3 linked regions of the Sus scrofa genome follow. The protein of the gene in region 2 interacts with the protein of the main gene of each other region in a pairwise test. Links are inferred from orthologs where the notes say so. Each region holds a gene or a part of one and is shown on either strand. Other genes may lie near its edges.

Region 1 (5,654 bases), about 33 Mb from region 2:
GAAGCATCTACCTGTTACCTCTGGACGAGGGCAGCATCAAGCCAGGATATTCTGACCTCCGTGTCTGCTGCAGCTCCAGCTGGGTGACCTTGTGCCTGGCATGCAACACCTCTGGCTTTCTTCCCCCTTCCATAGATGGGGGTTATGTGGACATGGCTGTAACCTCAAGTGCTTTAGGACAATGCCCTGAAGTCAAATCCTCTGCTAAATAGGCCATCCTGGCCTCTAGCAGCAGAGACAGCTGGGGGCAAGAGGTTGAAACCTACTCAGATGCTTCTGCTTCTCCAGCCACCACCTCTTGGGCTTGGCCAGTGACCCTGAGGAACTGTTTCCAAGGCTGCCAGCCCACAAGCAGGAAAAACTATGTTCTGGATGGAGCATTGCCTTCGGTGTGTTTGAGTGTCTTTCTGCCAAGCCTCAGCTCCCCCCTCCTTCCAAGGAGGAGGGGACATCTACCCTCTCTCAGGATCGGCTACCCTGCAGCAGCTTGCCTCAGGCCTCCCAGCCCCTGGGCCAGGCATGGAAGAGGGAGAACTGGGAGGTTTGCTCTCTACAGGGTGTCCCTATAGTAGTATCTTTTCACCAGACCCGATCATTCAGCTACTCAGCTGTTTCCTCTTCCTCACAGCTGCCTCCAATAGTTTCCTCCTTGTGGAGGAAGCGGGCAGCAGAGATGGGACAGTACCCAGAGATGGAGAGGTGCCTGTCCTACCACATGCTTTTAACTTAAAGTAGCCTACCTTCTTGAGGGGCAAGAAATCCAATTAAACGCCAACAGTTCTATGGGATGGCCAGGCTAGAAATAATCTGCTCTGAGTGGACAAAAAGCTGGGGGAATGGGAATGAGGAAGGTGATCATAAGGGTGTACCCCTAGCCCTAAACACACACAGCCTTTTCAGATTCTCCTATTAAGCCTGCTCAGTCACGGTCCCCTAGCCTGGCTTAGAGCCCCCAGACTTCTAGAAGAGACACCTGGGAGAGCTGCCAAATGAGAACCAGCTGATGTGGACTGGCAGCAGCACCCAGAAGAGTTTAAGTGGACATTTAACCAGGGCTGTGGAACACTCCAAGGGTACCCAGCCCCAGGACAAGGCAGTTGCTGCCCACTTGTCAGCTGAAGGGCTCACATGATATGGACCAAGAGGAGTAGGAATACAGGGCAGAGTCCTAATTTTCCAATAACTCCCATTCCTGAGAGTTTGTTTTTTGTTTTTTGTTTTTTTGCTTTTTGGGGCCTCACCCGTGGCATATGGAAGTTCCCAGGCTCTAGAGGTCTAATTTGAGCTGCATCTGCCGGCCCATACCACAGCCACAGCCAAGCCATGTCTGTGAACTACACAGCTCACAGCAATGCCGGATCCTTAACCCACTGAGCGAGGCCAGGCATCGAACCTGAGTCTTCATGGATACTAGTCAGGTTTGTTAGTGCTGAGCCTCGATGGGAACTCCCCCAAGAATCTTTTAGACATTGTGTGTGATCACCATTAGGCTGGAGAGTCTCAGGACCATTCTTCCTCCCCAGTCTTTCCCAGGGATTAGGCTGGTACATGCACCTTTTATCTTAGTGGGACTGGGGCTGTGGGCATCCCCTGGAGTATAGGATAAGTGCCCATCTTGAAGGCTGGTGGCACTTCTCTAGCTGGGCTGTCTGACTCTACCATATTGTCCACCTCTCCCTCCCTGCCCAGCACCTGAAGGCCCCTCCCCCCACCAAGCAGCAGTGGTGAACTACACCTCCCATGGGGTTAGCTTGAAGGTGGGCTACCTGAGCTCTGGTCCTAGCACCATCAACAGTTTAGGTTAGAGGCTGAGTCTGCTGTGGCCAGAGTGACCAGACACCCCCTTCCTGTCCCTCAATCCCAGCTCAGGCCTCTACCCTCTTTCCACAGTCCATTGTGACACTGGATGGAGGCAAACTTGTCCACCTGCAGAAGTGGAATGGACAAGAGACAACGCTTGTTCGGGAACTAGTTGATGGGAAACTCATCCTGGTAAGATGGACAACTTTGGAGTCTCACCCAGTTGGTTCTTACTGCCCCTTCAGCCAACCCTACTGTGAAAAGCCAAGGTTCCCTGGGACCAGTGGAAGCTGGGATAGTGGAGGGTGGAGGCAAGGCTGGGTGGCATTAGGCATTAGGTAGGAATTTTCTTATGTAGTGGCTTTGGACTCACACAAGATTGGGTTTAAATCACAGTTTATAGGCTACATGACTTGGGGTAAGTTAGGTTCTCCATGTCCAACTGTAAAGTGGGTATTAATGACACCAGCCTTGGAGGGCTGCTGTGAAGTCTGAGGGAGATGGTGGATGAGGAGCACAGGATCACTGGCATGAGAGAACTATAGTAGGCATGCGCCATTGCCTTAGTTTCATTCTGCTTCACCCAGGAAGCAGTAGAAAGCGGGGCCAAATCTGATCCCAGGTCCTGGTGAGAGGCTCTCATCTCCTAAGCCTTGGGGCAGAGGCAGGCTGGTGATGGTGGGGCCCTGGCTGATAGCACAGCCCTTTCTATTTCATTTCAGGCTCACCTCCTCTCAGTGCTTTCTGTGCCTGGCCTATCTGACCATGGCCTGGGTTGGAGGCAACAATCAGGCTGGCAGCATGTTTAGGGACACACTTGGGGACATCACTGGAAGAATGGAGCCTTGACTGAATACCCCCAGGGGCAGAGACAGCAGCCAGCTGTGGTCTCTACCACTTAACTCTGTAGCACCTCAGGTTTTTGCCTCAGTATCTTCACTGCAGACCCTCCTGGGTCAGTGTGACCTGCTGACTGCATTCTTGCACTCAAACAGGGCAGGGGCCCAGCAGAGTTAAGAATGAGGTACCTGGCTCAGGTGGGAATGTGATATACAGAACCAAATACTCACTGGGCATTCAGGTTATGGTGAAACCATGATGCCTGGCAGGATGATGGGGTTTTGGCCCTGGCACTGCCCTAAGTTAGGGAAGGAATGGAGAGTTGGTGGCCTAGTAGAGTCCTTTCCCCAAGCATCTCTGGGCATTTTTGTTCACCCATTTACTATGTACCAGGCACCATCTTAGGCACAAAGGATGACAGAAGAATGGTACAAGGGGAAGAGAAATGCTCTAGGATCTTGACCAAGTTACCTCCTCAAAGCTCATTTTCCCAAGTCTCTACGAGAGGAATTACAGTGCTGAACTTGAAGACCTGGTGTAAGCATTAGGAAAAAATACATGTCAAGTACCTGGCATGTAGTAGGTAGTAAATGACGATTATTAGCATGAAGGTAGAGGGCTTTCCCCGGCAGAGTGAAGAGTGCTCCCAGTACCTTCTGTGCCCTTACCCCTGCCCTAATCTGACCCTCTTTTATTCCAGACACTCACCCATGGCAGTGCAGTTTGCACTCGCACTTACGAGAAAGAGGCATGACCTGCCCATCCCTTCGACTGTTCCTGCCAATTGGCTACTCCTGGACTCAGCACCAGATTGCCTCATTTTTTCCTCTGGCATTTTGTAAAAATCTACTTTGGGGATATTCTCCTGGGGTCAGGTTGCACCAGCCTGCGTTCAGTTCCGGTTCTTGTTGTGTATGTTTGTTTTTTTTTAATTGCATCCAAAGGGTGCTCTGAGGTCAATAAAATAGCCAAGGCCACCCAGCTGCCTCTTTGTCTTTGGTGACATGACTCTGGGAGTTCCAGTTTCAGTGTGTGTCAGAGTGGGCAGAGATGACTGCCATTCAGGAAGATGCACTGGATGAGACTGAAGTGGACAGTGTCAGGAACAGTGATAGATGATCACCTTACACATACAAGAAATTAAACCGCTGTACCTACACCTTGTCTTTACACTGCCCTCTTCCTATGGCCAAGTGAGCTCGTCCAGCCTGGAATAATCACTCAGTGGCAAGGCTTCTGAAATGTCACCTCAGGCCTGTCCTGCACTGAATGCCCTGGAGTCTGGACAGTTGCCCTTTGTGGAAGGCAGTGGTCTCTTTCCAGAAAGTAGGCTCAGGACACAAGCCAGGCACAAGAAAATGCCCACTGGCCAAGAGGACCGCTGAGCTTCTGCCAGGCCGTTACCTGCGGTTACAGATCCTTACTGGCTCTCCAGTCAGCCCTAGGGGAGAGGTCATCTGATCATTACAGAAGAGAGGCTTATAAGTGATCTCCTAAGAAGGCTAGGACCTGCCAGTGTCTTTGGCTCAGAACCTTTGCTGGGCCTCTCTCCAAGGTCTAAGGTAACATATTAAATGTTTTTCTGTCAACTAATGCACACTCAGTAACTTTTAAGTTTGGAGGTTACAGGAAGAGATTATACCAGTTAAGACTCTCAGTAAGTTTAAAACCAAACACACTTCCATTTAGTGCCAGGAATTTAAGCAGAGACCTGAAATGGAACCATTTGACTCACACTGTAGTAAATGCAAAGTAAAGCAACGATCTTGGCTTGAGCTGTTTGGTTCAGTGGTCTGATGGAATGTCACACACAAGCTGAGTCACTGCAAACAATGGTTTCTGGCTGTGACTGCTGGCTGTCGCTTCTAACACAGTAGAATCGTGTTGGGGGACTGGAAAAAGTGAGCACCACTTCTTACCATGTTCTCCCTTGTACTGCCAGTCTCCCTCTGCGCCTGTGTTGGATGCTACAGAGATCACCCACCAATTAGCCCAGGGCAGACCAACAGCAGGCCAATCACTGTCCTCCAACTATAGCCAGACTCACCTCCACAGCAGTACCTGTGGCTCTAGCCTAGACTCCTGTATAGGAATCTGGCTCTGGCAGTGGCAGCTGGAGAGGTTAACAGGACCTCCTGCTGAATGAAGGAAGTTGGGTCGATGAGAGGGTGAGCTGCAGGGGTCACTTGCAGAGGGACCAGGAGTGATAAGGAAACAACTCGTTCAGGCAGATGGTTTTGATACTTAACTCCCAAACCTGCCTGTGGCTAAGGGGAAGCCACCTTCCATGGGAGAGAAAATGGGGTGGGAGGCCACATTCTCACTAGTGAGTCCTTCCAGGAGCCAGGGCTTCAAGGTACAAGGCTCCGGTTTCCTTCTCTCAACCACCCCTTCTACTCTTTCCACTCTCACTCCTTGTGCTTCTTCTTGTGCTTCTTCTTCTTTTTCTTCTTCTTGGCCGCCTTGTTGTCTTTTGATGTGTGCCTTGCCCTCTTGCCTGTATCACTCTCAGAGTCTGAGCTGTCAGAGTTAGATGACTTCCTGTCTCTATGTTTCTTTTTCTTCTTTTCCTGAACAAAAAAATAAACAAGAATCTCAACATTGTATGTGCATATTTGCTTTTAAAAATATGGCATGTGCAGTTTCTGCTGTGGTGCAGTGGATTAAGAATCTGACTATAGTGGCTTGGGTTGCTGTGGAGGCAAAGGTTTGATCCTTGGCCCCTCAGGAGAAGGCTAAAGGATCTGGCATTGCCACAGCTATGGAACCTGTGAGTCGGATTTGACCCCTGGCCCAGGAACTTACATAGGCCAAGGGTGTGGCCATTAAAAAAATAATGGCATGTAATCAGTAGGGAATAACTTAATAAATAATAAAACATTAATTAAAAAATAAATTACATCTTTGGGTACCAACAAGAAAAAAATGCTCAAAACAAGGGAAAGTAGATCAAGTCATGAGTTCTTTATTTTTTGCTTTTTAGGGCTGCACATGTGGCATATGGAAGTTCCCAG
Region 2 (7,194 bases):
CTAGCCAACTACCCAACCCATCAACCAAACAGCTAACCAGCCAATCAACTGAGTCAACCAACTGCTAATCCACAGACCAATCAACCTATTAACTAAGCAATCAATGAATAAGCCAACCAACCACGACCCACTCAACGAAACAGTCAACCATTTCAAGCCTTTTGTTTGTTTGGTTTGCTTTTTAGGGCCCCACTTGCAGCATGTGGAGGTTCCCAGGGTAGGGATCGAATTGGAGCTGTAGCCACCGGCCTACACCACAGCCACAGCAATGCAGGATCCAAGTCGTGTCTGCAACCTACACCATAGCTCACAGCAACGCCGGATCCTTAATTCACTGAGTGAGGCCAGGGATGGAACCCGCATCCTCATGGATACTAGACAGGCAGGTTAACTGCTGAGCCACGAAGGGAACTCCTCCAACACCCTCACTCTGCACCTGCGGTTTCTTGATTTTCCCTCTAGTTCATTCTCAAATGGCAAACTAGATCACACATAAACACACCTGATTTCATCTTTAATTATTATCGTCTTTTTAGGGCTGCACCTGCAGCATATGGAGGTTCCCAGGCTGGGGGTCGGATCAGAGCTGTAGCCACTGGCCTACACCACAGCCACAGCAACTCCAGATCCTTGACCCACTTTGCGAGGCCAGTGATCAAACCCGAAACCTCATGGTTCCTAGTCGGATTCGTTTCTACTGCGCCACAATGGGCACTCCTCCCCCTGTCTTTTCATGGCTCATTCCGTACCATTTTTTTTTTTTTTTTGGTCTTTTGTCTTTGTTGTTGTTGTTATTGTTGCTATTTCTTGGGCCGCTCCCGCGGCATATGGAGGTTCCCAGGCTAGGGGTTGAATCGGAGCTGTAGCCACCGGCCTACGCCAGAGCCACAGCAACGCGGGATCCGAGCCGCGTCTGCAACCTACACCACAGCTCACGGCAACGCCGGATCGTTAACCCTCTGAGCAAGGGCAGGGATCGAACCCGCAACCTCATGGTTCCTAGTCGGATTCGTTAACCACTGCGCCACGACGGGAACTCCCGTACCATTTTTTAAGCCTCAGCCAAAATGTTACTGCCTTGGAAAGGGTGTCCCAGCTCCCCACTGTAAACTAGTCCTCGCTGTCGCTTTTGAGCTCAGCTACTGTTTCCTGCTTATCCCCACACATCGTCATTTGTCTCTTGTCTGTCCCCAGTAGAGTGTGAGCGCCAAAAGGGTAGGCACCACGTCGGTCTTGTTCCCAGCTGTATCCCCAGCACCTAACAGTGCCTGACATATTATAGGTGCTCAGGAAATATTTATTGAAGGAATAAATACACGAATGAATGAATTCTTCTTCTCCCCTGCCCCCTGACCCCAGCTCACTCCATGACTCCACCTCCATTCTTTGCCTACCCTTACCTGCCAGGGGCTCTCCCCCCCCTGGAAGCCCGCCCTCCAGGGCTCCCCCAAGGACCTCATAGGGGCCCAGGGGGGCAGGGGCCAGGGGGAGTTTCCCATAGTCTACGAGCCAGCCCAGCCCGCTAGCTGGGAGCAGGGTCCTGTCCAGCTCCAGCCCCAGGGTCGCCAGGAGTGACATGGCTGCAGCTCGGGTGCGGGGCACAGATGGCAATGAAGGAGGCTGCACCAACAGCTGGCAGGAGGCTCTGGAGATTACTCAGCTGGGCGAAGACGGGCACCAAGGCGAGAGTGGAGGACCTACGAGTGGGAGACAAAAGTGAGTGGGTTAGGGGCCAGCCTCGCCAACGGCCAAGGCCATGGGGAAACCAAGCGATACCCCCTCAGGTCCCCAGGATTCCTTACCTTTTGGGAATTCTACATCTGCCCTTTCTTTCCTCAAATGGGGACCCCACCCATTCCCAAGGGAATTTTCTTTAGGCCCCGACTTACTTTTCCTCAGAATTCCCTAGACCCAATCCTTCCAATATTGAAACATAATGGTGTCCCAGGGGAATTACCTTAAGACCCTCCCACCCACCCCATAATACTATCTCTCATGGAAAAAAAAAAAAAAAAAAAACACAAAAACCTCAATCCCAGGGGAATTTTCTTCCAGCCACACCTCTTGCCCTAAAACATATCCTTTAGGCCCCACCCTGTCCCTAGATTCCTGCTGTGAATCTGTTCCCAGGGGAATCCCCCTGCCCCGCCCCTTCATCAAAATCCTCCATTCAAATCCCATTCTTCCCTTCGAATTTTGCAGTGGTCTCCCGTCCCCCCAAGCCCTGCCCCCTGGTTTATTAGCTCCACCCTCCCCGACGATTCCCAGAGGCCCCGCCTCTTTCTCAATATAAACCCCACCCCCTCAGCGCACGGCGCGCTTAGCCACGCCCCTTCTCCCAAAGGGTACCCCGCCCCCGCCCCACCCTCCGCGACGTCTCTTATCCTAGCTCCCGTCCCTTAACTGGTCGTTTCTAAGCCCCGCCTTCTCCCCCCGCCCCCGCCCCCGTAGTTGCTTGAAAGAAAGGGAGGGAAGACGTGCTTTTACGCCTGAGCAAACTGGAGGGAGGCGGAGGGTGGAGGGGGGCGGGATGAGAACAGCTCCCGACTCCCCCTCCCCCCACCCCCGTACACGGCTGTCTCGCCGAGGGCCAAAGCGCAGGCTCCAGCCCCAGAGCTGTCCTATTGCCCCCGCAAGGCTCCGCCCTCCTCGGGATCAGTGCTGCGCACGTGCGGCTGCTGCTCGTCAGCCCTTTGCTCCGAGATACAAGCGCCGGTGGATCTGAGCAATCGCTGATTGACAGACTCAATCAGAGCGGGGAGGAGGGGGGAAACCCACCCTCTCTGGGAGCTAGTGCGCAGGCGCAAACGCATGTGGTCGTCTTTAAACGCCAACATTGTCTGGAAGAACGCACCCTCCCCCCATCAGCTGAGTGCGCATGCTCCGCAGCGCGCAAACGGAGCGTCTTGTCTCTTCTGCGCCTGCGCGACCGTGATTCCTCACTCTTGTCTCCCCACCCCCCCGAGCCCGGTGGTGAGGGCCGCGAGCTTGGAAAGGGCGGGAAAGACGGTTGGAGAGGGAGGGGCGAGCGAGCGGTTACTCACTCCATGGCTGCGGAAAGAAGAGGCGGCGGTGGCCTCAGCTGAAGAAAGACGGCAGGAGCGGAGAGCGCAGGCGCGGTGAGCACGGCGACTGGCCGGGGGCACAGAGGGGTCGCGGCTACAGAGCCATGGCTGGAGCTACGCGGGCGGAGGAGGTGTCGCGGTACTGTGAGGAGAGATTGTGATCTGAGGATGGGGAATGAGGCGGCCCGGGGGACTGGGGACAGATATACCGGGGGCGGCGCAGCACGGCGTGCCCGGATCCTTCCGCGCCCCGCCCCGCGCTGCCCCAACCGGGAGGCGGGCTTGGCCTCTAGCCCTCGGGGATCCCGGGGACTGTCCCCCACTTCCGACCAGGGCGTTCAGCCCTCCCCTTCCTCTGACCTGAGGATCTGGCCCTGCTTTGCTCCCGACCCCCTGGACCACCCCCACTCGGGTGGGGCCCCTTTCTCCTTCTGATCCGGGGTCCGGCTTTCTGTTCCCTCTCATTCTGGTGGTTCAGCCTCACCTCTTCCCCGATCCCTGCACGAGTTCATTTCTCCTTTCCTTTCTCTTGCTTCACGAATTTCCGGCCAGCCACGTGCTGATCTCTTCAACTGCCACGGCACTCTGAGAACCCTTGTTGTGGCTTAGGATCTGGTTTGAGTCACAGACCGCGCTCCATTCAAATCGCAGACGGGCGCGGGTGGCCTTGGGCAAATAATTTAAATTCTCTAGCCTCGTAGATAGGGAACTACCTGTAAAATGAGAATAATCACCTCTTCCTAGTGGGGTCGTTTGTGAAAATCCGTGCAGTCGGTGTCTGTGAAACCAGCCCTCCTTCATGCCTGGTCCAACCGCTTTTATTATCCATAACAAGGACCTCTGGGGACCAGTCTCACCCCTTCCAACTCCCCTGGCCAGAGCCCCAGACTCGACCATCCAACACCTGCTAATAGATCATTCTTGTGTCTCCTTCGCTCTAGCATCCCTGCCCTCCCCCATTTCAAACGATGGACGCTCAGCCCCATCCTGCTGCCGGGAGCAAGGCATCATTGCCCAGACTCTCGTGTCCATCCCCTGCTGGCTTCCCCTTAGCCCTTATCCTTAGCACGCCTTTCAGGCCCGTTGGTTCATTCTTCTGTCCCTGCCCCTCACCTAGACGTCCTTTCAAATGGTTTTCTACCTCCGTGCACCCCACCCTCACCCCCAGATCAGTTTTCCACCTTTGCCAGACTTAGGGAGATCTGTAGTTCCATTTGCTGAAAGAGATGGGGCTTCCTGGCCAGTCCCTCCCATTACACAGGGCCTTCCACCAGACCCCGTAGACGAGGGTCTTTGCTGCAAGCCCCTCTCCTCCCCCATTCATCCACATCTAGACGTTACACCTGGAGTACAACTTTTCAGGACTTTGGTGGTGGTTATGAGACTGAGTCAAGATCCAAAGGTGGGAGACCCAGATCTTGAGTTACCTGGAATGATACATGGGCCTCTTTTGTTTTGTTCCATGTGCATGTGCTTTTTTTTTTTCCAGTTTTACTCAAGATATAATTAAACTTTATAAATTTAAGGTGTACAGTATAACAATTTGATTACCCATAAGTTTAGTGAACATTTATCATTTCCTGTAGATGTGAAATTAAAGATATAGAAATAGGGAGTTCCCATTGTGGTGCAGCGGAAACGAATCTGACTAGCATCCATGAGGATGCATGTTCAATCCCTGGTCTTGCTCACTGGGATAAGGATCCAGCGTTGCCATGAGCGGTAGTGTAGGTCGCAGATGTGGCTTGGATCTGGTGCTGCTGTGGCGTAAGCCGGCACCTGTAGCTCCGATTCGACCCCTAGCCTGGAACCTCCATATGCCTTAGGTGCAGCCCCGAAAAAGACCCAAAAAAGTAAATAAATAGATACTTAGAAAAAATACATATTTCTTTTTTTCTTTGGCAACTCCATGGCATATGAGTTCACAGGCCAGGAATCAGATCCGAGCCAAAGGTATGACATATGGAAGGGTTTATTCTCTCTCTCTCTCTCTCTTTTTTTTTTTTTTTTTTTTTTGCTTTTTAGGGCCACATCTGAGGCATATGGAAGTTCCCAGGCTAGGGGTTGAAATGGAGCTACAGCTGTCAGCCTACGCCACAGCCACAGCCATAGCTATGCAGGATCCCAGCCACATCTGTGACCTGCATCACAGCTCACAGCAACACCAGATCCTTAATCCACTGAGCAGGGCCATGGATCGAACCTGCATCTTCATGGATCCTAGTCTGGTTCGTTAACCACTGAGTCACAAAGGGAACTCTGGGTTTATTCTCTTAATAACTTTGATATGTAACATACAGCAGTGTTAATTATACTGATCATTTGATATATTACATACCCAGTACAGGCTGCTCTTCCTACAGGAAGCCCTTTTTGGGATCTGACCCCGTTCCCTTAGAGTACTTCCTGTCCACTGTGCCAGTATTTGAGCACTTGTCCTTTGGGGCCACATTATTACCTAGGCGGCATGGAGTAGTAGTTAAGAGCACAGACTCTGGAGGCAAGTTGTTGGATTCACACCCTGACTATACCCCACTTATTAGCTTCCTGGCAGTTTCGCTGTGCCTCGGTTTCCATTAATAGTGCCAGAACAGAAGTCCTCTGGTGGCCTAGCAGGTTGGGGATCTGGTGTTACCTCTGTGGCTCTGGTTATTACTTGGTGAGGGTTTGGTCCCTGGTCGGGAAGTTTTGTGGGCGCAACCAAAAAAAAAAAAAAAAATAGTGCCAGGATAAAAGTGACTAGAAAGTGCCAGGAGTTTAGTGACTAGAAACATACAGAAAGTGCCAGGAGTTTAGTGACTAGAAACATACAGATGTAAGTGGCTGTCCGTAGTGCCTCCTTCTTAGTGTTGTCTGATATTTAAATGAGTAAATCCAGGCCACCTGCTCATAGCCTAGTTCCTGGCACACATCAGGTGCTACATAAGCGGTTTCTGTTGTTACGGAGGTGGATATGTTTTCTCCATTGCTAAGCCGTAGTGCTTTCAAAGGCCTTTTAAGTGAGAAGTAAGGACCTCCTTCTCCTTGCCCTCCTCAGTGTAGGTACTTGAGCCATAGCAGGTAGGATTAGGGTCGACTCTTGGGCAGGCTGTTGGCAACGAGGGGGCACAGTCCCCCCACTCTTCTCTTGAAAAGACCTTCTAGGTCATGACGGGTGGACTAGGCAGAGTATTTTTCTTTGAATAAACTTTTTATTTTGGAATAATTGTAGATTTATAGAAAAGCTGTGAAGGCCGTGCAGAGGAGTAGAAGTCGGTGCCTTTACATTGCCATGGCGCACTTGTCACAACACTGGAGTCAACATCAGCCCCTTTCTATCGCCTCAACTCCACCTGGTCCTCGGATTTGGCCACTTGTTCCCCAACGCCCCTCCTCTGTTCCAGGATCCCCCCAGGATGCCACGTTACACTTAGTGGTCGCGTCTCCTTGGCTGCCTCTGGTCTGTCTGCGGAGGCTTTTTCAGACTTGCCTTGTCTCAGGATCTCGATGGTCTTGAAGAGTATGGGTTGGGTGCTCTACGGACTGTCTCTCCATTTGGTTTTGCTCGTAGGTGGAGATTATGGGGTTTTGAGGACGGCCAGGTAGAATGCTTTTTAACAACTGCAGACGAACTTAACTGGGTATGGGAGTCATGTTGCCAGTTGCTTGTGGTGTATGCTGACTGAGAAGCCCCTGGTCCCTGCTCCCGGCCCCTTGTGCCTTTCTCTCGCTCCAGCTGCTGGCTCCCACAGAGTTAAGTCCTGATGCCAACTGCCCTACCCAAGCAGCCTGAGTCCCTTCTGCTGAGCGGGTGCCAGCGGGCACTTAGTTCCCCAGCATATTCGAGTTTATGGGCAGTGGGTCGTCAGTGGTGCCGGTAAGCCCGGGTCTTGGCGCCCTGAGCCCTCTCCCCATGCCTGGCCCTGATCTGGATCCATGGCCCCTCCAGGACTCAGATGCCTCCCCCACCCCTACTTCCCAGACACCTCCAAGGGTCCAGTACCCCAGGCCCTCCAACTCCTCAGCTGGGGCTGGGAGCATGGGTGGAGCTGCTGGGGACTCTTTTTCAGTGCGGAGGAGCTAGGTTGGGGAGTGAGGCGGTTATTGCAGGCAGGTTGCATCACCCTGGCTCTTTGATGGGGAGGGGGAG
Region 3 (5,593 bases), on a different chromosome or scaffold from region 2:
TGCTGAAGTTGGCATGTGGACATAGTTTGCCTAGGTTTATATTATAAAAATCGATGGACTATGGAAGTGCCGTCTTTCAGTAAATAATGATATTATTGAATGTTAGACCTTAAGTTGAATGAACCCGTATCATGCATTCATTTAATGAATGTGCTCTGCTGTTTGTTTTTTGCTAGACATCGAGTCATTCTGTGTTCTTGAATTATCCTCATATTCCCAGAAGCTTTCAAAAATAACACTTAAACAGCAAGTTGCACATTACTTTACAATGCTATAGAAAAATTGAGTGTGACTTTTTATTATAGTTCTAGAATCTAGATTATTTTCAAATAATGGGCACATCAGCTCTCATTCCCTTGCACATGACAGGTATTATATGACATGGATTATTACAATACTCTTTCCTAATGACTCAGAATACCTTATACTCCTTAGCATAGTGATCTAAGTGGCCACTGCTAATAAGCTAAAATTTGCATGGGAGATGAAACCCATTTGTCATCTTGGTTCTCATATGCTTTTGAATTACTACAGTGGCAGCCTTGGAAAATACCTTTTTTGGGAAGTAGAAAAATAAGGTATTACTGCATTAATGTTTATTGTGAATGCTAAATGAAAAATTATATAATTTTTTTTGAAAAGTTTAAGTAGTTTTTATTTTGTCTTAGGGTCATTATCTATGAATCCTGGAAACTTGTACTGCTTCATTTTATGATGAATATCAGGGGAATTATAGGAATTAATATGTTTGTTACACCATATATACTTAAGCATGCAGGTATCTGGGACTTAACAGCTATTCAGGAAAAATGGTGAACCTCAGCACCTCAGTTTGAACATCGTTGAAAAGAGCACTGTGAAGAACTTAACATTAAAGATTTAATCCCCTTACAATCAGATGTAAGGAGAGAAGACAGTTTCTGAAAGAAGCAATTTTAAATGACAGAAAAGAACTGAAAGAGCCACAAAAAGGAAATGAAGAAACATCACCTCAGCTTTGAGGCTTCCAAACATAGGGATAAATAGTTTTTAGGTTGTTATCGTGTCATCCTGAGTTACTGTAAATGTGTTTTTTACTTATGCTAAATATTCTGTTCGTGAGCAAAAAAAAAAAAAAAAAAACATGTAATACATTTTAAATCAAAATTGTTTAAAATGAATTTAATGGTTTAAAGAATTATCTCTTCATTAACACTTTGAAACTAGCCATCTTTTATTCATTCCCATCTTCTAACCTTGACAGATTCTGTCTATTCTGTTGAAATGCCCCCTCCTTTTTGTACTTACTGTCATCCTAGTTCAGGTTCTTTGTTTCATCCACTTGATGACAGCAATAGTTTTCTTAGCCAGTCTTATTACCTCTAATGAAATTTCTTCCTTTCCTAGTTCATCTTTCCTGATGCTCCCTTTTTCCATATATTTTCAGATAATATACCAGTGTTAATATGCTATATTAGCTTTTAATTTTTTGCTATTTTTCAGGAACATATAAAGTATAAGACAAGTACTTTTATGTATTTTTTTCTCTTTTAGTCTGAAAATAAAGGATTAGAAACTACCAAGAGCAGTGTAGTTCAACCAGTTTCAGAAGAGGGAAGAAAATCTAAACCCAAAACAGGTAGGTTATAAATGTAGTATTAGCTTCTGTAGATTTTTTTTTAAAGTAAGATTTCTGTGTAGTTGGAGTTCCCATTGTGGCTCAGCAGAAACAGATCTGGCTAGTATCCATGAGGATGCAGGTTCCATCCCTGGCCTCTCAGTGGATTAAGGATCCAGTGTTGCCATGAGCTATGGTGTAGGTCACAGATGCGGCTCAGATTTGAAGTTGCCGTGGCTATAGCATAGGCCGGCAGCTACAGCTCCTATTTGACCCTTAACCTGGAAACCTCCATATGCTGCTGGTGCGGCCCTAAAAAAAGATTTTTGTGTAGAAATTAATGTGAGCCAAGGTGAAGGTCTTTTTATGCTTAACAGTTGAATACAGATTTGTACTAGTCTCAGTTCTAGGCATAATGTGTCAAGGTTGCAGCATGTAAAGGAAATTGAATTGATGTGGTAGTAGTTCTTAAAGTCTCCTGTTTTGTTTTATTTTCCCGTTTAGGAGAAATTGAAAGAACCCTGATTTCTTAATTGTTGAATAAAAGACTACATTTTCTGACTTGTGTGTTTTTAAATTTATTGATACAAAGAATCATAATTCTTGTTTGGTTATATAAGAATAGTGATTGTACATCTGCATCTGTTTTTTAAATCTTCAGCTTAAACTCTATATAAGTTGGTGATAAAAGATCACTTTTCTAATCTTCGTTACAGATAAGCAGCTTATCCAGTACACTGCCTTTCCACTTCTTGCATTCCTTGATGGGAACCCTGCATCTGCTGTTGAACAGGGGAATACGGCATCATCAGAAGTTATGTCCTCTGTAGATAAACCTATAGAAGTTGATGAGCTTCTAGATAGCAGCCTGGACCCAGAACCAACCCAGAGTAAGCTTGTTCGCCTGGAGCCATTGACTGAAGCTGAAGCTAGTGAAGCCACACTGTTTTATTTATGTGAACTTGCTCCTGCACCTCTGGATAGTGATATGCCACTTTTAGATAGCTAAATCCCTAAGAAGTGGACTCTATATGTATATATTCATCAAAATGATGAACTATTTATTTTAAAGTATCATTTGGTACTTTTTTTTTGTAAATTGCTCTGTTTGGTTTAATCAGATACTGTGGAATTGTAAAGCACCTTTTGCTTTTCTCACTAACTACACACTCTTGCAAAGCTTTCAGATGTTACTCAGCTATGTGGGTGCATAATATGTGTTCAGTCACATTATTGGCATATCTTTAAGTTGGATTCAAATGGCCATTTTTTCTCCAGTTATGGTAAATTGGATTTCTTTTTTGCACATATGCTCATTAACTCCAGTTAAACTTTTTGTTTGTTTGTTTTACTTGTTTAATGCTATCTCTTTGCATTGAGTGTTAAGTCACTATAACTAATGGTAGGACTCCTAAAGCTTTCTCTGTTGCAGTTGCTTTTAATAAGTATTTTTCACTTGGCTTCTTTTTAAAACTGGGAACATAAAGTGCCTGTATCTTGTAAAATTTCATTTGTCTTTCTCAGTTCAGAGAAGTTCGTTCATGTTCAAAAAGGAAGGCAATGTATACTTGAGTGCTTACTGTCTGATTCAGTTTCAGCTCCATATACATAGAAGAAGGGGATGGGATGATGCAACCTGTCCACCTTATTGGACTAGTTCTAAGTAAAAGTTTCTGGTTCGTTTCTGTTTTTTTGAAGCATACTATTTAGTAAAATAAATATAATGAATGTTGCGTACCATTGTCTTATGTGTCGTCGTTGGAGGTGATTCCCACATGTAACAGTTTTTCCTTTTCATAGGAAGTAGATAAACAATAAATTTTGCCTGTTGTCCATTATTCTTAATATAAGTCATACCAAGATCTTTGTGCGTCCTCTCAGAAGATAGAGTGTGTATTACAACAAGGAATATAATACAATGCCTCCAAATTTAATGTGTTTTTAAATTCTTCATTTAAAAATTATACTGGCTTGCATTCTATGTTTCTGATAAAGAACCGAGAGAAATATCCTCTGATTGTCTCAAATGAGGTAAGAACATTATCTCTGGATGCCAAAGGCCTGTAATTTTTGCCCTGAGAGAAGGTAAGAGACACAAGTCAAATCACTTCTTCCCTCTTGAACACTTGCTCAGGATTAGAGAGACTTAACGGCAAGGCTAGGGCACTCTCACTTGAAGAATTCCACCTTCAAGCAGAGGGCTGGAAACATTGAGCTAGTATCTGAGTATTTTACAGGGCTGTTAGATGAGGAATTACAAAGATAGACTTTCTATTGGCTATTTCTATTGTCTCTTAATACCTTAGAATTTTAAATCATCTCTTACTATGATTTAAAAATTCAAATAAAGCCTAGCACAGAGAGGTAAGAAACTTGCTTAACAGATTCCAAAATACTTGACTCTGACAGTGAGATCTTGGTGAACTAAATCAAGACCTCAGAACTTTTTCTGCATAAACTTTAGAGGTCACTTTCCTAGAAAAGTGTGAAGAGTTTGGAGACAGAGAATTTCAGACTTTTTCATTAACCCCTTCCCTTCCTCTCTGTGGGATACGATCAAGCTTTTTCATTGGGGCTATTTTGGAGCTCTAGAAGTATTTAAATAATTTTGAAGACTTTATACTTCCTAGTACTTTGAAGGTGACATTTAAAATTTTTCATCTTATGTTTAAGTTGTTGGGAGGAATTTAGAATATTGTTAATACTGCCATTTTTAAAAATAGAGTTGTTACATGCTTTTACATGTATCTAAAAGAATCTAAATACCATAGTGATTTGATATCCATCATCCATTACACTTTGTCCAAAGAATTTTATCCATTTATTATGTGTGAGTTATACATTGAAGATAACTGCCACACTTCTCCACAACTGAATTTCAAATAGTTTCCTGTAACCTAAAATTCTGAGCATCAAAGTTTGTCTTCAGTTGATCAAAACAGGATAAAAGTATGTAACAGAGGCTGTTAACTGATTGCTGAATGATTTCCTATCATGCAATTGGATAATTTCCACCTCTGTAAGCAGAGTAGCTCTGTAACTGAGTTGTAATGAATCAGGAAAAGTGATGTTCAGAACTTATAGGTCTGGTCTGTGAAAACCTCCCCCATGCAACCCTCCTTGCCTTTTACCTGTCTCTAGCTTGATGCCAAGGAGTATGTGGCTTCCAAGGATACACATGAGAAGGAAGAAACTGGCTTCCTGTATAACTGCTTATAGGAAAACCACCGTCAATCCTGGAAATTCATTTTAGACTTCAGGTGAGGGGGGAACAAACTTTTATTATGTTCCGTCTCTGAATTTTTGGGGGGTTGATCTGTTAAGAGTTTTTAGTGTTCACTGATACAGTGCGGTTCAAATTTTGATGAACCATTATTAAGTAAAATTTTACCAGAAATACATCTTTTAATGGGGTGAACAGGTATCAGGGTTTTATTTCCCAAATGTCTCATTATCTGGGTAAGTTTATATCAGTGTAATGAGAGGTAGCATCAATTTTTTGTTTTTATATGGTGCTGAGTAATAAAAGGATGAGAATAGAAGGAATGGTTTTACAGCAATGTCGCTTAATTCTTTCAAGTCCTTCAGAATTATATACCAGAATTCACTATTAAGTATTTTTAAAAATGTATTAGCTGGTGACTTAATTAGATCATAGTGATTCAATTTTATTGAAATCAAAATAGAAATCATCTGAATTGCAAAGGATTTTTAAACCCAGTGTCATTCTCTTACCGATATTTGGATTTCTCTCTTCTGAGAATTCAGTGGTTTTATCCAAAGTGTTTTGGTATTAAGATTCAGAATTCATTAAAAGATAGATCCTTTGTTTTGTCATGTGTGAAAAGAGTAATTGTTAAGAGGGTTGATGCCTTTTTCTGAGGCATCTTTTCAGGTATATCAGCTTTAGGAAGGTATACACATGGAAATTGATGCTCTGGAAACTGGTTCTTTTAAAAATAATCTAGCTTGTGTTTTATGCAGAAAGTTCCTTTG

Evidence for each region.
Region 1: the proteins of NUP62 (region 2) and FABP3 interact in binary tests that used the Homo sapiens proteins (3 or more experiments, as listed by UniProt). The two-hybrid records come from large-scale screens. The link is inferred for Sus scrofa from reciprocal best matches to the Homo sapiens genes NUP62 and FABP3.
Region 3: the proteins of NUP62 (region 2) and HSF2 interact in binary tests that used the Homo sapiens proteins (3 or more experiments, as listed by UniProt). The link is inferred for Sus scrofa from reciprocal best matches to the Homo sapiens genes NUP62 and HSF2.

The regions. Positions count from the first base shown.
Region 1 is NC_010448.4:87,940,745-87,946,398, reverse strand, and holds the end of FABP3 (fatty acid-binding protein, heart), read left to right. Parts: intron 1-1,890; coding exon 1,891-1,992; intron 1,993-3,340; coding exon 3,341-3,394; 3' UTR 3,395-3,396; downstream 3,397-5,654. Other genes in the region: ZCCHC17 (nucleolar protein of 40 kDa), read right to left, coding at 5,049-5,210. UniProt on the Homo sapiens protein: FABPs are thought to play a role in the intracellular transport of long-chain fatty acids and their acyl-CoA esters.
Region 2 is NC_010448.4:54,941,510-54,948,703, reverse strand, and holds the start of NUP62 (nuclear pore glycoprotein p62), read left to right. Parts: upstream 1-2,998; 5' UTR 2,999-3,119; exon of another isoform or gene 3,120-3,323; intron 3,324-3,549; exon of another isoform or gene 3,550-3,637; intron 3,638-7,194. Other genes in the region: ATF5 (cyclic AMP-dependent transcription factor ATF-5), read right to left, coding at 1,401-1,578. UniProt on the Homo sapiens protein: Essential component of the nuclear pore complex. The N-terminal is probably involved in nucleocytoplasmic transport.
Region 3 is NC_010443.5:40,145,009-40,150,601, reverse strand, and holds the end of HSF2 (heat shock factor protein 2), read left to right. Parts: intron 1-1,533; coding exon 1,534-1,618; intron 1,619-2,313; coding exon 2,314-2,606; 3' UTR 2,607-3,335; downstream 3,336-5,593. UniProt on the Homo sapiens protein: DNA-binding protein that specifically binds heat shock promoter elements (HSE) and activates transcription. In higher eukaryotes, HSF is unable to bind to the HSE unless the cells are heat shocked.